Saccharomyces cerevisiae S288C: one gene and its partners. The gene in region 3 interacts genetically with the main gene of each other region. Each region holds a gene or a part of one and is shown on either strand. Other genes may lie near its edges. The genes, in order: RSR1, TRM2, BUD8 and GON7.

Region 1 (3,862 bases), on a different chromosome or scaffold from region 3:
TAAACCATTTTCACCGCTACTGGTGGCCATTTTGTATTCTTCCATTTACAAGAATTGCTCCCGACTTTTGTTCCATCAGTGGACGATAGACCATTGTCAAACACAGTAATTCTATTTTATTCTTGAGATGAGATGCCGCAATATGACCTGATATGAATCACCCTAAATGTCCGATCTAAACAAATAAAAGGCGTGCGAAACAGCCTCACGACGAGATATGAAGTCGAAAACATCGGCCTAATTTCTGTGCTTTTTAGAAGACTACTCAGATTTTCAATATCAATACAGTGAGTTAGATCTCAGGTTGAGAAGAAACACTTTGATTTTACTAGATAGGAAAGAAAAATGGACTAATTAATCAATCATTTTGTCATCGTTGAAACTTGATAACGCACGCTAAACGATAACGACTATGTTGGAGGGAAAACATTAACGATTACTCTTTTAAGTAATTGCGAAGTATATCTGAGACTAAAGACCCTCTGAATTAATTATATCAATCAACATAAACTATAAGAAACTACAGTGTGAGCTTTAGTTACGAGAGTGTGGATCTGTTCATTTAATATTTTTTATACGTAACGCAGCATCTACCGTAAAATCCCATAGATTGCGGGCACATGGCGCAGTTGGTAGCGCGCTTCCCTTGCAAGGAAGAGGTCATCGGTTCGATTCCGGTTGCGTCCATATTTTTAACATTTCATTTTTTTTGGGTTTAAATTTATTTTCAAACATTATTAATTGATTTCTTTAAAAACTTATACAACGTATGCTAATACTTTAAACTAAACCTTTTAGAACTATAATAAAACTATTTCAAGTAAAGTCTTTTTATCTGATATCTTGATTCATTTATAATAAAATTAAGTGACTATAGAATAGTGCAAGTGGAAGCGTTTTTCTTCTTTTTCTTTTGTTGTGAAGTAGCGCTAATTCCTGTCCTGTTGCTAGAACCAGATTTCGGAACGGCATGTGACGGTTTGTGCTTTTCATTAACCGGAGTAGATTGTTTAACTTTAGCTTGTCCTTGTGAAGATTTGTTATATAAACCTTTTGATGATTGCTTATTGTTTGATTGTTTCGTATCCTGTTTCGCAGAACTAGGGAGCCTGGTTGATGGAGACTCGATTTTGCTAAATTGTTGACTTTGATTTCTTGCGTCTTTAACTGCAACACTTTCCATTTCATTCCGAATGATTTGCCTAACTAAATCAACGAACACTTCATCCACATTGCTCCTCAACAAAGCGCTTGTTTCATAAAAGGGAACTCTACCCCATTTACTGCTTACCTCTATACCTTCTTCCACACTTATTACCCTTTCATTGATTAGATCAGCCTTGTTACCTATTAGAACCATTGGAACGCGATCGGAATCTTTGATCCTAAGGACCTGTTCTCTTAGCTCCATTAATTCTTCCAAAGATTGCCGATCTGTTACTGAATATACCAACAGGAACCCCATTCCTGACTTTATGTATAATTCTCTCATTGCAGTAAATTGTGCTATACCCGCTGTATCTAAAATTTCCAGGTCGAATACCTTGTTATCGATCTCGATGGTTTTCCTGTAAGAATCTTCGATCGTTGGATCATACGTATCCAAATAAACTCCCTGTACAAACTGCACGGTTAAGCAGGATTTACCGACACCACCAGCACCCAATACTACTAATTTATAGTCTCTCATTAGTCCTAATGTTTCCTAGCCAAATATTTCTAAGCGATGATAGAAGCCAAAATATTAGAACGTTGTATGTAAATGTTCTATATCGTTACTAAATAATAGTATTATTGTTCAGTGGAGAGGATGAAATTTCAAAAACTTCTTGGCGTAGTTAAGAACGAACGCAATGGTTCTTTTTTTCGAGATCGAGCTCTACTTTACTTTTTTCTTTTTCTGTCCTTCTCTCTTTTCTTTTTAACCTTTTTCGACGATATTTCGCGTTTGAGAATGTCGAGGATGAATGCGCTTTGACGCGAATTAGTTGTGAGGCTGACGTTGTGATAAAAAGGCGATGATTCTTGGGAATATACAGTCTGTTTCCACTTGCTAGATAAAATGTATGATATTCCAAAAATGCCTTTCTCTATTGAACTGTATGACTGAGATACGCCTGCTTTTACCTTGTATATTATGAGTACTATTCGCCTTTTCCCATAAAGTTGTTTTTTTCTGGGGTTTATGTGTATCGTAAATGGTACAAAATAATAAAATTCTTATCTTGAAAATACTGTTTAATACTTTTCATCATTACTAAATAGGTTACGAAAAGAGGTCTTTGAGAAATGGGAAAGGCCTGTTTGAATAAAGAAGTCGGCACTTACGAATGTGAGGGGGAAAGAGATACCTACTCATTTTTTACCTCTCTCTCAGATATACAGGATTCAAGTAGTAACGAGGAACAATGCGGTGTAGGAAGTATATTGAGTGAAGATAGTTTCACGTTTGAAGGGTCCAACGTGAGCATACGGTTATTTTCCTTGGACTTAAATGCCTTGAATGAAAATGAGAATGGATCCAAGAATCCTGTGAAATTTACCATTCCGCCAAAAATAGAACAAAGAAAGGAAGCAAGACAAAGAGAGAAACGTTTAAGGAGGGTGGCAGTACTACCTGAGAATTCGAGAAACTACCTTGTTGAATCAAGTATGGATTCAAGTAGGGAATACAGTCAACCATTTTTTGACTGGAGGCATGAAATGGTAGAACATGGAGAGGAGAGTGTAAAACCGTGTGGTTGTCATAAATCGAGAAAAGCAAAATGCTTCAAAGAACTGGAGATGGAGAATATAGAAAAGGGCGATATAAAGAAGAGTCTCTTTTACAGAGACATAATTGAATGGTGCAGAGACTATGAAGTCAATAAAACTAGGGAAGTCTGTGTTCCGTCTATACACGAGTTTTACCTACATGGAAATGGAAGTGACAACCTCTTTTGAAGTATAGCCATGCATATAAATATATGTGTGTGTAAGAAAATATTAGAAGTTTTCATAATCTAGAAATGTCAGGCTTTGGGCCTAATGGCACTATACCAAACTGATTGATCTTGTTCCTACTTACTTCCATCCTGATGTAAAAGAGCTTAATATGATTAAAATCTGTAGTAAATCTAAACTCTGCGTAATTCCAGTATAGATTAATCAACCACAAATGAAGGTACGGGAAACCATCCCTTATAGTTTTCAAATTGCATTTGAAGTGCTGCACGTACACGACGTCAAATCTAATTATTGATGGATACAATCTGATATCCGCTTCAGTTAACCTCTGTCCTAAAACAAAATATTTAGCCAAGATTTTCTGTTTGTTACCACTGAATTGCTCCTCTAAGCGCTTATAATTTTCTTTTAGTACACATTCCATCTTCTGCAAGTTTTCAAACAGTGTTTTTACTTCAGTTTCGTAAATCTTTCCGTTTTCTGCTAATCCGACTTTATAGACACCAAGATTAATCTTCGGATGAACCCATTTGATGTTCTTATCAATCTCGTCTATTAAATCATGCGGAACTAGATCAATCACGTTCGTTTCTTCGCTTTGGATAAATTCATCAAACACGCCACTGTTCAAAATTCTTATGATATCGCCACTCTCATTGTTAACAATTTTCCTTGTTTTAGAATCCCACAGAACAGGCACAGTGAACTTTGTACCGGGGTACTTAGGATCATTTAAGTAGTACAACTCGCTTAACCTTGATATATTTTCCACCGGGTCGAAAGCGCCATCCACGAACAACCTTGCAGAGTCATTGTTCACATCACCTAACTCCTCAGATTCGTCTAATTTAGCTGAAGCAATGCCACCAGTGGCAGTAAAGAATCTCTCTTTATATTTTTCCGGCCGGTGTGGAGC
Region 2 (4,811 bases), on a different chromosome or scaffold from region 3:
AGTAGTAATATTTACGGGGTTTTGGGGTCTTTTTTTTGCTCGGGGGTTTCTCAGGGACTCCACACTGCAAAACTTTAAACAGAATAGCCAAGAATACAATGACTCTTCAAATTAAACAGGTTCCGGTTGTCTAAAAATACAATATATTATTATAACCTAAATACCTATAGAGTACCTAAAACGCTTCATCGAAAATCCGACGAATTAGAACATATGGTGAAAAGTTGGTAATGAAGAGAAAAATCGTCAGTTACCTATTAGTCTGAACGATATGAAGCTTAAATCGAATCCTCTTTTTCTTTTCTCTTAACGTGAGTAAGACCAGACGTTCTTTAACAAACCATCGTTTTGAGCCAAACGGTTCAAAGAATCATCAGATTCACCTCTGGATCTAACGTAACCGGACAAAGCGTAGGTAACGTACTCACCTGGGATAGCACGTCCTTCTTCATCAACCTTAGCGACGTTGATTTGAACAGATGCGTGGTCATCAGCCTTGATGATTCTGTTGGTAGCAGAACATTTTCTTGGAACGTAAAGTTCGACCTGATGTAAAACAAATCTTTGTTAGTTATGCTAGTTTAAAAAACACATTGTTGGTGGTGGTGAGTGATGATTTAATACATGTGAAGAAAGTAATCGAAGAATTTTGTCAGAAATTGCTCAACTTTTGTAGGCTGCATTCAGAGCTGGTCTATGGCACCTTCGGAGTTGCTTATTATCGGTAACCATAAGTATGTTTTCCATACATTGCGGATGCCTACGTTTTGTTTGCATTATGATATCTTTCTTACATTTATTTAAACAGCCATGCACTTTCCATTCATCCGTTAAAATATAAAAAATCTTATAGATTTCTCGAACATACTAATTGGCCCTTATCGTTTTCCATTTTGGTATGATGTTTCTATGGTTTGTATGTGGTTAATTTACGCCTGATCACCTTATATCTTCCGCTAAACTCTCTACTAAACATTAGAATAACGTATATGAAATTTTCAAAAAATCGTTGTGCATAATATCACTCTACACGTTACCTTTTTAGTGTAATTTTCGTTCATTTCGAATTGAAAAATGAATCTGAGATACATTTTCAATTTTCAAAATGTACGGATTTAAAAGTACAGGAAGACATTTACTCTAGAAAGATATACATAGTGATAGATATTTTATATGTGCAATTAGATTCTCTTCATTATACACACACTCTCAACGTGGTGCGTTTGTGGAAAGAAATCAAATCCTCTTATGCTTTCAATCTGGTGGGCGGAACCGTTTTCTGTTTCTTTGAGGAAGTACTCGACATCACGTGCCTGGGAATGGACATTACACGATATGTAAATAATCTTGGCTGGATTATATGCGGCTAATTGCTTTAGGAATAATTCGTCACAGCCCTTGCGTGGTGGATCCAAGATAACGGAAGTGTTTTCACTTGGAGTATCAATAGACTCAAAGAGTTTCTCAGCCTTTCCAACGATGAATCTACAGTTTTCAACACCATTTGCCTTTGCATTTTTTTCTGCAAAAGAGACACTGTCAGCGGAAATTTCTACACCAATCACTTTATCTACGCCCTTGGAGCTGCATATACTGAAAAGACCTGATCCACAATAAGCATCTACTAGAAACTTTGTTTTATTATCATCACCTTTAGCGGGAGCTTGCAAGTTATCACGGACATACTTGGTCACTATTGGCAGGATAGAGTTATTATTTTGAAAAAACTCACCCGCACTAAAATTAAAAGTATATCCATCAACATATTCAGTGACAATTTGTCTAGGATTGGTAACGCAAGTTTTAGCCAGCCTGACATTGTTCTTTTTGTCTTCGACTTCGACATAACTTATATCACCATTTTCATCCCTAGAGGCTTCTTCGGTTAACTGTTCTAAAGTTGGTTTGGAAGGGTCTAAAATAGTGGTATTCTCTCTCAGTAAAATAGTCGCGCCTTTTTTGTAGTTTTTAAACTCTTGCTCAAACTTTCTTCTTTCATTAGTCAATCCTTTGTTGAGAACTTCAGTTGCAAGCACACATTCATCGATATCTAATATCGAACCATGTCCGCCGATATCCAAAGTATCTTTTCTCCATTGAGGTCTACCCTTTTGACCAAATCCTAAAGGAGGCCTTACTGATAGTTCCTTTTGTTTTCTTTTTGGCATATCGAAATGAGGCGTAATTTTGGTCCTGTAGCCAAATTGTAAAGGGGAAGCTACGGTGGTGTCAAATGGGGGTAAAAGTTTTTCAGCAACTAACCTTGGTGCGAAGAACTTGTAGGCATTCATAATTGTTTTTCTTTTCAATTCTAGTTGGTCATCGTAAGTTAAGAACTCTAATTGACTTCCTGAAGATTTCCCGAAATATTTATCCCTAATTAAATCATCTCTTCTCATTGGAGATTTTTCCACTACGTCTAATAAATCACTCTCGACATAGTAAGGGTGGGTCTTAAAGACTTTGATATTAACTACATCACCGGGCAGGCCAAACGGTATGATAACAACTTGCTTCTTTTCTGTTTCAACAGGATTATCGATCAAAGCCAACCCGTTGCCATTGGAAGTAATTTCTAAGACCTTGACATTTTTTACCTCTCGGTGATATTGTAAGACGATAGGTCCATCTGTTGAGGACTTATCATTTAGAATTGAAGTAACATCGTTCAGAACCTGCTCCCTGGACAAATTTTGAGATTTTAACAAATCGTTCACTTCAAATTCTAGGACACCCATCGGAGAAGTTGTTTCAACCTTTTTGGCCTTGTACTTTCTCAACTTTGGCTTCTTAGTCCGGCGGTTACCAGAATCTGTCAAAGGAGACGAAAGCCTTTTGTTGTCAACGGTATGTTTCATTGTTGGTGGTACCATTTCAGTACTTCCAGTCATGGTGCTGATTAGTTTATAATTATGCTTCTTGACAAAGTTTCTGCAAGCGAAAAACCTAGCTTTAAATATAGACTTCTGTACGGTCCAAAAGCAACGCATGCATGTGATAATACTCCAGCGTTTTATCGATGAGATGAGATGAGCTTTATATTTAACCTTATTGTCTGAATTTTCGAAGAAAAAAAAAGAAAATTCAAACTGTTCGTACATAATGACTTTGTCCTAAACTATTCCTCTAAAATAAAATGACAGATTTGTACTTTTATGTCACAGAAGCTTTTATTAAGTATTTAATGTAATTAGGCTAGATTAATATCGAATTAGTACTTTATGACATCGAATTAAAATGAATTATTATGATAAAATTGGGATAAATTCGAATATATTGGAGCGGTATATCACACCAGATTCAGAAAAATGGAAGTTAAATTAAATCAGGTTCTAATTGTTTCGTCTTGATAAATAAGATAGCGGAAGATAGTAAAATGTGTGTATTTTTTCTTGCCACTTTTCAAATGTTGTAAGTGCGTACAGAATGGGCAACAGAATAATCTTCATCATTATTCTTACATTATAATACACTTGTTTTTTCTTAATCTTTTCGTTCCGGAAATAGAGACGCTGGTATCTCCAGTAGAAGAATCGATATCTGATCTGGTGGTATTTCTTTTAAAGGGATTTTTGATTGTATGTGTAGGCTCTCTGGGAGCATATAATGAATCGGAAAGTAACGTGTGTATGGCAGTTTCAAATACTTCATCGATATTTTCTTTCAATCGTGCTGAGCATTGAATATGTGCAAATGCCCCCAGACGCTTGGCCAAGGATTCTGCTGAACTTGGTTCCACCAGATCTGAAAGGTTATCAGCTTCATATAGATCTGATTTAAGGCCGACTAGCATGATTGGAGTGGAAGGACAAAAATGCTTAACCTCTGGGAACCAGAGATCTTCCACATTTTTAAGCGATGTCTTACTACCAACAGAATAGCACACCATCAGCACATCTGCATTCGTATATGAAAGCGGTCTAAGTCTACTATACTCTTCTTGGCCGGCAGTGTCCCATAATGCCAATTCTATAATTTGACCGTTGGGTCCTTCTATGTTTGTGACATAATTTTCGAAAATAGTAGGAATATAATCAGTCGGAAATGTTCCTTGGACATAAGATATCAGCAGGCACGTCTTCCCTACAGCGCCATCTCCCACAACAACAATCTTTAGGTGATAATCTGGCAGTTTGTTTGTACGTTTCATCTGCTCATAACTAGGAATGGTAGAAAGGCTTCTAGCGAATGGAGTAGGCAATCTGGGAAGATTCTTTTCATCTAAAGTGCCAGGTGATTCAGGAAGATTGCTACTTGAGGGCGATCCCTGCGAAACTATGTTACTTTCGTTCCCACAATTGCCACCTTTTCGCTTAAATAATAGTGTATTCATGAAAAAGCGTTACTATTGGAGATTTTTGGACCTATTTGACTTAAGTTTGCTGTAACTTTTGAGGGATGCTTATCATGTCTTTTGTCGTCTTAACGTAAGGCTATAACTACTTAATCAGATCATCCCGAATTGATGCGCGGAAGGTCGCATTGTACGGATTCTAATAAATAAGCTAATGAAAGGTAAACAAACATTACATATAAAAATTAACAGAAAGCATAGAACATAGAAGGGCAATAATACTCGTTCAGAGCTTAAATTGGAAAGTACGTCAAAACGTTTTTTAGGCAATGTGCAAGAATGAGGCAAGACTTGCTAATGAGCTGATAGAATTTGTTGCAGCTACTGTAACGGGTATAAAGAATTCTCCCAAAGAGAATGAGCAAGCATTCATTGATTATCTACATTGTCAATACCTTGAACGGTTTCAATTTTTTTTGGGATTATTGGATGGGAGAGAGTTCGACACGTTGTTTGT
Region 3 (4,835 bases):
AGGCCCAAGTTACTTTGATTTCCCCATTTGTTGGTAGAATTCTAGACTGGTACAAATCCAGCACTGGTAAAGATTACAAGGGTGAAGCCGACCCAGGTGTTATTTCCGTCAAGAAAATCTACAACTACTACAAGAAGTACGGTTACAAGACTATTGTTATGGGTGCTTCTTTCAGAAGCACTGACGAAATCAAAAACTTGGCTGGTGTTGACTATCTAACAATTTCTCCAGCTTTATTGGACAAGTTGATGAACAGTACTGAACCTTTCCCAAGAGTTTTGGACCCTGTCTCCGCTAAGAAGGAAGCCGGCGACAAGATTTCTTACATCAGCGACGAATCTAAATTCAGATTCGACTTGAATGAAGACGCTATGGCCACTGAAAAATTGTCCGAAGGTATCAGAAAATTCTCTGCCGATATTGTTACTCTATTCGACTTGATTGAAAAGAAAGTTACCGCTTAAGGAAGTATCTCGGAAATATTAATTTAGGCCATGTCCTTATGCACGTTTCTTTTGATACTTACGGGTACATGTACACAAGTATATCTATATATATAAATTAATGAAAATCCCCTATTTATATATATGACTTTAACGAGACAGAACAGTTTTTTATTTTTTATCCTATTTGATGAATGATACAGTTTCTTATTCACGTGTTATACCCACACCAAATCCAATAGCAATACCGGCCATCACAATCACTGTTTCGGCAGCCCCTAAGATCAGACAAAACATCCGGAACCACCTTAAATCAACGTCCCATATGAATCCTTGCAGCAAAGCCGCTCGGTGTTCTTTATTCATAAGCAACCTCATTAATCTATAGTCTGAAACTAATTTCCTTCTTGAGCTGCAGCCAATAATAAAAAATAATGGCGGCACTATACTACAACATAGGAGGATCACAATGATGTTTTCGATGCTGTAAACGTCCCTGAATCCATTTTGACCTGAATCAAACGAATGAATGGAAGCGGTATCGATATGTTGAATTGGCATTCTCGCCTCCAGGTCTATATTTTCAGCATCGTGCCTGTCTTCTTTCCTATTATCAGTTTTTTCTTGTTGCTTTCGTCGTATGCTTCGAGCTGGCTTTTCTATAATGGAGTTCTGTCCCGTGTCTGACTCCGAGCTTTGAGATTTAATTGGAGCTAGCACGAGGGGTTGTCCATGTTCTGGCAACGTTTTATTTTTCTTCTTGTTCATCTTGGTCAATGGAGAGGGCGTCTTGTGTCCTTCATAGCGTGAAAATGGATCAGACTTAGTTGAATTTCCAGATTCTAAGCGTAAAGGTGTCTTCGTCCATTTGCTTGGTCCGGACACACTTCTTAATACGGGAATTGAAGGTAGTCCAATTGGTGGACCTTCTTCTTCTAGGGATGTGGAGGGCTTGCGCGTAGATTTTGAACTGAATTTTTCTTCATTATTATGCCCTATATGGTCTTTAGGAGAACTTTCGTTACTACTGTCACTATTGTGTGAAGGAATCAATATGTTACCAATTAACGATGGACTCTGAGGAATTTTAATCTTCCTTGCCGACGTACCTGGCGCACCTGGCGAATGCGAATCATCACTTGTCGACGACTTTATTGATCCAGCCTTCTCTGGAATTTTTAGTTTGTGCGGTATAAATTTTGATTCATTCACAGGTTCGTATTGATCTATGACTTCATCCTCGGTCTCGCCTTCACCTTTACTGCCAGTTGAGCTTATAAAATTAACATTAGAAGTTTTATTCTTCGTTAGCCTCACTGCCTCTTCAACATCTGGTTCTAAGGTGTCATCGTAATGGTATGAGAAAAATGAGTGTTCCGTTGTTTCATTAGGTTCAATTGAGGTAGGACGTGGAGGTGTTCCATTCTTTGACTCGTCGTTCCCGCGATTCGCCAAAGATGAGTATAATGAAGATACGACCCTACTATGCTCTTGCTCTATAGGGCTTCCTTCAACATCTTCTCCCATAAGAACTGAAGTTGATATTGTCAGTGCGCAACTTAATCTCTGCGAAGATGGTGAATTCACTGCTCTTTCTGGCCGTACCGCCGCGTTTTGTGAAGGAGTTACGTTCCTTAACGGTACGGTATCCTCGTTGTCTCGTCGAAGTGAAGTTGGCCTTACAGTAGTGTTGCTTGGTATATTATTATCTTGGGTATCGTGAAATTGTGTAATAGAGGACGAGTTGCTACTAGAGCTAGAGCTTGTGGATGCTCCCATTATTTGAGAAAACCTTTCATTGTTGATGTATACAGCAAATCCTTGACCTCTACTTGTGGTTTCATAGGCAACAGTAGCCATCTCTGTCTCCGCATCGGGGTTCCCATGTGCTCCATTAAGATTTTCAAAAAACAAGGATGTTCTTAGTTGTAGTCTGGATGATACAGAGGAAGTACCACTATATGAAGTTGATGCTGTCGTTTCAGAAGAGTCCAAATTATCTTCGTCTGATTGTATCATACTTCATGTAGAATCGAAAAAATTCTCAAGTAGAAAGAGGATATTGGGTATTGTCAAAAATGCTTCGATTCAAGAAAGAAACTCCTAGAGTTAAGAGAAAGTTATAGTCTAAATTGAATTAAAATAAGCGAATGTAATTGGATTTATTATCTTATCAAAAGAATGAAAAGTATACCGGTAATCGCCTAGAAATAAAAATCGTCAATAATGAATATTAAAAAAGCAATTGAATGGTCTTTCTTTTGTTAACTAGAAGTTCGAACAAAACAGAGGTCGCGACTGGAAAGCTTCCAGTTGTTTTTGGATATCTTTATTATTTTCCTTCCTAAACCAATTGCCTGTTCTTAGTATGGGGTATTGATAATTGATGGAAGGTGATTGAAAATTATAATGAATTTTGCAGGTATCGCTTACGCGCAATAAAAAAACACACCACAATGAACTTAATCCTACTCTTATTAGCGTCAGGACTATCCGGTTTGGCCTCTCTAGTAAGCGGATGAGTAAATCATTTTCTAATTGTTTTTTTATTCTCTCTTTTGGATCATTTTTCGCAATGTTTACCTTTTTCGGAGGAGAGAGGCTTCCCTTATGAAAAAAAAAAAAATGGAAAACTTAAAAATCACATTGCGTTTCGAGGCATTCTTCAATCAGTTGATAGGGGAAGGGAATTTGCTGCAATCATTAAATTCGTTTCCGAAAAGTCTGGCTAAATGGTAGACGATGTATGCAATATTTTACCATATATAGAAATCATATACAAGACACAAGACGAGAGCGGAGGAAGGGTAAGGAAGTAAAGAGAAAAATATCTATGCTTTTAAACTGTAGTATCTATACATTCCACGCTCAATGCACCCAAAAACTTGATATTCGTTGACTATTTCAAAATGTAATCTATATCTTTGAGTCGTCAGAGGATCCTTTGGATCATAGACAAATTCATCGGGATGCGTGAAATAATAATTCTTACGCTTGTGAAGGTGGTTGAAGTGGGAGAAGGATAGAAACGATGCCGAGGACGAGTGTTCACCAGTTAAACTTGGTCTTGTTTTATTTCCTGAACGTGAGCGCGAACTTTCAAATAAGTGAAGTTGGGACCTTCTCCGTTGCAAGTCGGGATCGTGCAAATATTCGTCGTCAGTCTCTTCAAAGTTTGCGATTGTTCTTAGTTCCTGCTGCTCATCAGCTAACTCCTGAATTCTTTGTTCTTGCAATGATAGCTCACGTAAATCATGGACCGACCTATCCCAGTACAAACCATCCCTGATTTGAGATGCAGGAGAAACATTGATAGCAAAGGGGTTGGCAGAGGAAGAACCATTGTTGCTTCTTAAAGTGGGTCTGCTCAACAGAGAATTCCTTCTTGGGATGGCATTCACGTGATTTTGGCTATCTTCCACATGACTGTTGTTGTCGTCCTCATTATGGATGATTCTCCACCCACCACGAGGTAATGTTGGGGTAATTATTGGTAGTGGAGTATCACCAAGGCTGATCGCACCTTTTCTATTTAAGAATTGAGAAACTGGTGGCTTTAAATCTCTGTAACATAGTTTACGTCTAATACCACTTTGAGGAACTAGACCACATCCAAGCATGATTTTACTTTGGGCAAACTTTAGGAAATCCGGCTGGTTTATAATTTCTATGATTTTGTGACCCTCAAAATCATACCTAGTTAAATTTGACTTAGAATCCAAGTCATCACGATTCAGGAAAGGATCAGTCTTATATAACCAATATCTCCTACCATAAGAAGAATCAATGTAACATTTCCACTTTACTTGTTCTGCTGTTGAAATATCTTTAATTACCGAATTTGGGTTTTTATATCTGTATGCAATAATTTCATGTCTATCATTTAGTTTTTCAATCTGTTGCCACGAGTCAAAGGAAACTTCTAACGCGACTAAACTTGGAGAACAAGTGTACAATAATGAGTCCTGAATAGTCCATTTATTCACATAAGAGTTACCAGAAATATTCAAAAACTTCAATTTTTGAGCACAATTAGGATGGTCTTGATCAATTGGTGTCAAAAATTCTACGAGCGTAGATATCGGGATACTATTACCTTTTATACTCAAACTTTTTAACTTCGGAAAATTCCACTTTATGAACTGTAAGCTATCGCGGCATTGGTAATAATAAGTGGATTCGCTAATAGGGTCCTCGCCGAAAGAAGGTGCAACATGAAGCGGTAAACCGCCGATATTTAGATATTGCAAAGTTTTGTTATGGCCATGTTGACAAAGTTTTTTTAGTAAAAACATTGTGTGCACCTCATTCCAAGATGAGGAATGGGCAATGACACTAACATTCAGCCATTCTAATGTAGAAGTGTTGTCAGGGTCTGTAATTGTTGGGTGA
Region 4 (3,208 bases), on a different chromosome or scaffold from region 3:
AATCAACCGGCTGGAGGCAGGAATTTCGTTAATATACAGCCCATGGGATGGAGAATATGATGCACCGGCGGAACGAGAAATTGGATAGAAGCGATTGGAGAAGAAATAGAGGATAAAAACAAAGGCCGTTATTATCGACAAAAATTTACAAGTTCCGTACTTGTTCTGCTTGAAACCAAGCCTGTTGAACCACTGCGAACCCACCGATCTTGAGGAGTACGTTTTGCCCTTCGTTCTTGGTTTGATTGCCATTTTAACGAGTCCTAACACAGCTAACACCAACAACAAACCGGCAGGATGATTCCAAGTTGAAAATTGGCTTTCTTCGCATCATTTAGGAGTCGATCAATCCTTCTTAACTGTATCCCATCGTGTGTTTATTATTTTTTTATATCAACTCTTCCTAGTTCAACAATTATCACTTGTAACGAAATATTTGTCATTTATCATTAGACTCTTTTCTGTTTGTATATACACTCTCTAGCGCTACATATCGTTGCCTAAACAGCATCTTCGTCACCGTCACCACCATCTAATAGCTGGTTAATCTCTTCCTGGATCCGCTTCTCGTCTGCGCCGGCTTTCTTCTTATTTTTTGCCAATTCCATTCTTCCTGTCAAAAACTCGTTAATATCGTCCTGTAGCCCCGTCAGCTGCGTGCGCAGCTGGCCTAAGTATGTCAGTTGTGAGCCATCTTTCGTGCGTTCCGGTTCTGAAGGTTTGTCTCTATCGATTTGGCCAGCGTTTAGCACATGGTCACTGGGCCCAGTTGTCCTTCCCTCTGTGGTCATGTATCGAGGGTCATCGCGTATTGGTGCAAAACTTTTTTCCACACCATCTGGTGCACTGTACTGTGCTACCGGTAGTTTCATTGAGATATTAGGATAAGGTTCCAGTGCACTATCGGCTGTATATATTTATTTAGCTCTAACTTGGTTCAGTAAAACTACCAATAATCAGATGGGATATTCTTAAGTTACTCATTACTAGAGATCCGGGTAAAATTTTTGACCTGACAAGGCCGTAACACTGGAAACAGGAAGATCAACAAAGAAACTAAATAAACACCTATCGTAGTTGCTAATATAGAGCTTTAAAAAATCACGCTCTGTGGTGCTAAGACACTATTCTATTGTGCCATCACTAGAGCATTCGCGTTAAGATACTTTCACCAAGATAAACATCGTTATACACGTACGATCTACGTGCGGCTGTAGCGTAATCCCGAATAATACAAATCTTTTGAAGGGATAGATTTCTATATACTTACGAATGTCGACAAGGAGCAAAGGTTGTATTCAGGGCTTAAAATACTAAAATTTGGTGGTCAGTACAGCTCATTAATGGCATCTGTGAACAATTACCAGGTTGATTGCGGGTCAAGGTCTGCTCGCATTCAACCCAGAATTAATAACGGCATTCACGATGAAGAATCGCTATTTGAAGTCCTGGAACTCTCAGAAGAGGAATTTGAGCTAGACTTCCATAGATTAAAGTCATTCAATGATGTAAGGGTTATCAATAACCCAGATTTATCTCCAGAATGTACAAATACTGCCATTAGTCGCGATGAGACACTGGAATCTGCAAGTAGTGCCTTCGAAGTTCCTTCTGACGAAATTGCTATACTGTCGATATCCAGTGACAGCAATAAAAATTCTCCGCCCTCAGAGCAGCCGGCGCCCGCTCTTCGTAACATTCGATCGTCTAGTAACTCTGACCGGATCGATGAGTGGTGTTTGGGCAGCCATTTATTTAATGAGCTGCATCAAAATGTCCCTCAATCAAGCGACGGTGTCAATCATGGATTTCCCGTTTATTCCTTTAAGGAAAGAGAACTTTATACCTCTGCGAAATTAAAGAAACTTACAAATGCCCAAAGAATTGCTGTGCAGAAACTATCAAGAGACTTGTATCCAATTCTAAGAACATGCTACCGCGAGAAAACTCGCCGGCAATTATTGACATACCATCATGAAAGAATATTTGACGATATACCATCTTTTTTCCCCCAGCGTGACTTTATTTTCAATTACTACTCGATGCCTCTTGAATTCGACAGGTTGTCAGACGTAGATATAGATTCGTCATCGCGGTCACGATTTACAGATGAGAGCACTGGAGAAACATTAAACCGTTCACCAAGCGCAGCGTCTTCGTCGTTGGAAAACACATCTTGGTTTGGCTGGACTTTACTTTCTAGGTTTTTGGACAGAGAATGGTAGAAGAAAGTTAGATACCCTCATTCTAAAACGTTGTCCGAACACCATCAGTTAGTTTTTTCTTGGTTTCATTTTTTCATTTTTTTCTAAGATGTATATATATCCGTGCACATATATGCTACATTATATTATACAAGGTCGGATGGCGAGTTATTATTAAATTATTATAGTTAATCACTTCATTAGTTTTTCTCCCCCATAGCTTCTTTGTGTGTGCTCTCCAGATAATTAACATGATTGGTCAAATACTCACACATTGCATCCCATTCTGGGGTATTAACTTTATCGGTAAAATACTTGAATTTAATAACTTGGCTTTTCGGAGTGGTACAGAAGGACCCCCTCATATCATTGAATAAAAACAATTCAAAATCCATTCCATAGCGATGCGGCTTCCTGAAGCCCCGTACTTGTTCGCCATTTGGACCGATAAATCTGTTTTCATGATAAAGAGTCCATGGATCTGCCTTGTAGAAACTGGCATGAATGAACATGATATCCAAATCAGAACCGTCATCATTAACCATCAAAGTTTTCAAGAAACCATTGTCCAAAGTATAATCTGGATCCAGTTTGGAAAATTCCTCAATGTTGGCTTTAACTTTCTGCTGCGCCTTTTGGTATTGCTTGTAATCTTGTTCAAAATCATGCTGGAGCAAGGCGAGACCCTTGTAATCATCTTTTTGATAGAAGAAACCATCAAATTCAAAGTTAGTCCTCACTTGATAGTATGGCATATTCAAGGCATGGGCAGCAGCGACGAAAGTGTCTTTGTCACCTTCACCGGCAGTGCCTTGAGAAATCATCTTATAATACCAGGTAGGCCCATAAACATTATAGTATAGCGCCAGTAATAGAGTGTTGAAATGGCGAATCTTATCAATCACCATCTGGCCTGATTCAGAGCTCAAGTCTGGCATCGTGCCGTCCAGATCATGTAAGGGAACATGTTTCAGGAAATGCTCCTGTCTCTCCTTTGGAGTGTA

The links.
Region 1: of BUD8 (region 3) and RSR1, a mutation in one rescues a mutant of the other (synthetic rescue), as found in Saccharomyces cerevisiae (one study listed by BioGRID).
Region 2: mutations in BUD8 (region 3) and TRM2 together harm fitness more than expected from each alone (negative genetic interaction), as found in Saccharomyces cerevisiae (2 studies listed by BioGRID).
Region 4: of BUD8 (region 3) and GON7, changing one suppresses a phenotype caused by changing the other (phenotypic suppression), as found in Saccharomyces cerevisiae (one study listed by BioGRID).

What each region holds. Positions count from the first base shown.
Region 1 is NC_001139.9:793,803-797,664, forward strand, and holds RSR1 (Ras family GTPase RSR1), read right to left. Parts: upstream 1,691-3,862; coding exon 872-1,690; downstream 1-871. Other genes in the region: YGR153W (uncharacterized protein), read left to right, coding at 2,290-2,943; GTO1 (omega-class glutathione transferase), read right to left, coding at 2,996-3,862. UniProt on the Saccharomyces cerevisiae protein: Ras-related protein which binds GDP/GTP and possesses intrinsic GTPase activity. Involved in development of cell polarity during the cell division cycle, and essential for bud emergence.
Region 2 is NC_001143.9:547,738-552,548, reverse strand, and holds TRM2 (tRNA (uracil(54)-C(5))-methyltransferase), read right to left. Parts: upstream 3,102-4,811; coding exon 1,182-3,101; downstream 1-1,181. Other genes in the region: 40S ribosomal protein eS21 RPS21A, read right to left, coding at 307-546, 869-892; Rho family GTPase RHO4, read right to left, coding at 3,458-4,333; DYN1 (dynein heavy chain), read left to right, coding at 4,624-4,811. UniProt on the Saccharomyces cerevisiae protein: Catalyzes the formation of 5-methyl-uridine at position 54 (m5U54) in all tRNA. May also have a role in tRNA stabilization or maturation.
Region 3 is NC_001144.5:831,979-836,813, reverse strand, and holds BUD8 (Bud8p), read right to left. Parts: upstream 2,463-4,835; coding exon 651-2,462; downstream 1-650. Other genes in the region: sedoheptulose-7-phosphate:D-glyceraldehyde-3-phosphate transaldolase TAL1, read left to right, coding at 1-464; LUG1 (Lug1p), read right to left, coding at 3,275-4,835. UniProt on the Saccharomyces cerevisiae protein: Involved in positioning the distal bud pole signal.
Region 4 is NC_001142.9:81,112-84,319, reverse strand, and holds GON7 (chromatin DNA-binding EKC/KEOPS complex subunit GON7), read right to left. Parts: upstream 873-3,208; coding exon 501-872; downstream 1-500. Other genes in the region: MNN11 (alpha-1,6-mannosyltransferase), read right to left, coding at 1-252; ATG36 (Atg36p), read left to right, coding at 1,344-2,225; alpha-1,2-mannosyltransferase MNN5, read right to left, coding at 2,405-3,208. UniProt on the Saccharomyces cerevisiae protein: Component of the EKC/KEOPS complex that is required for the formation of a threonylcarbamoyl group on adenosine at position 37 (t(6)A37) in tRNAs that read codons beginning with adenine.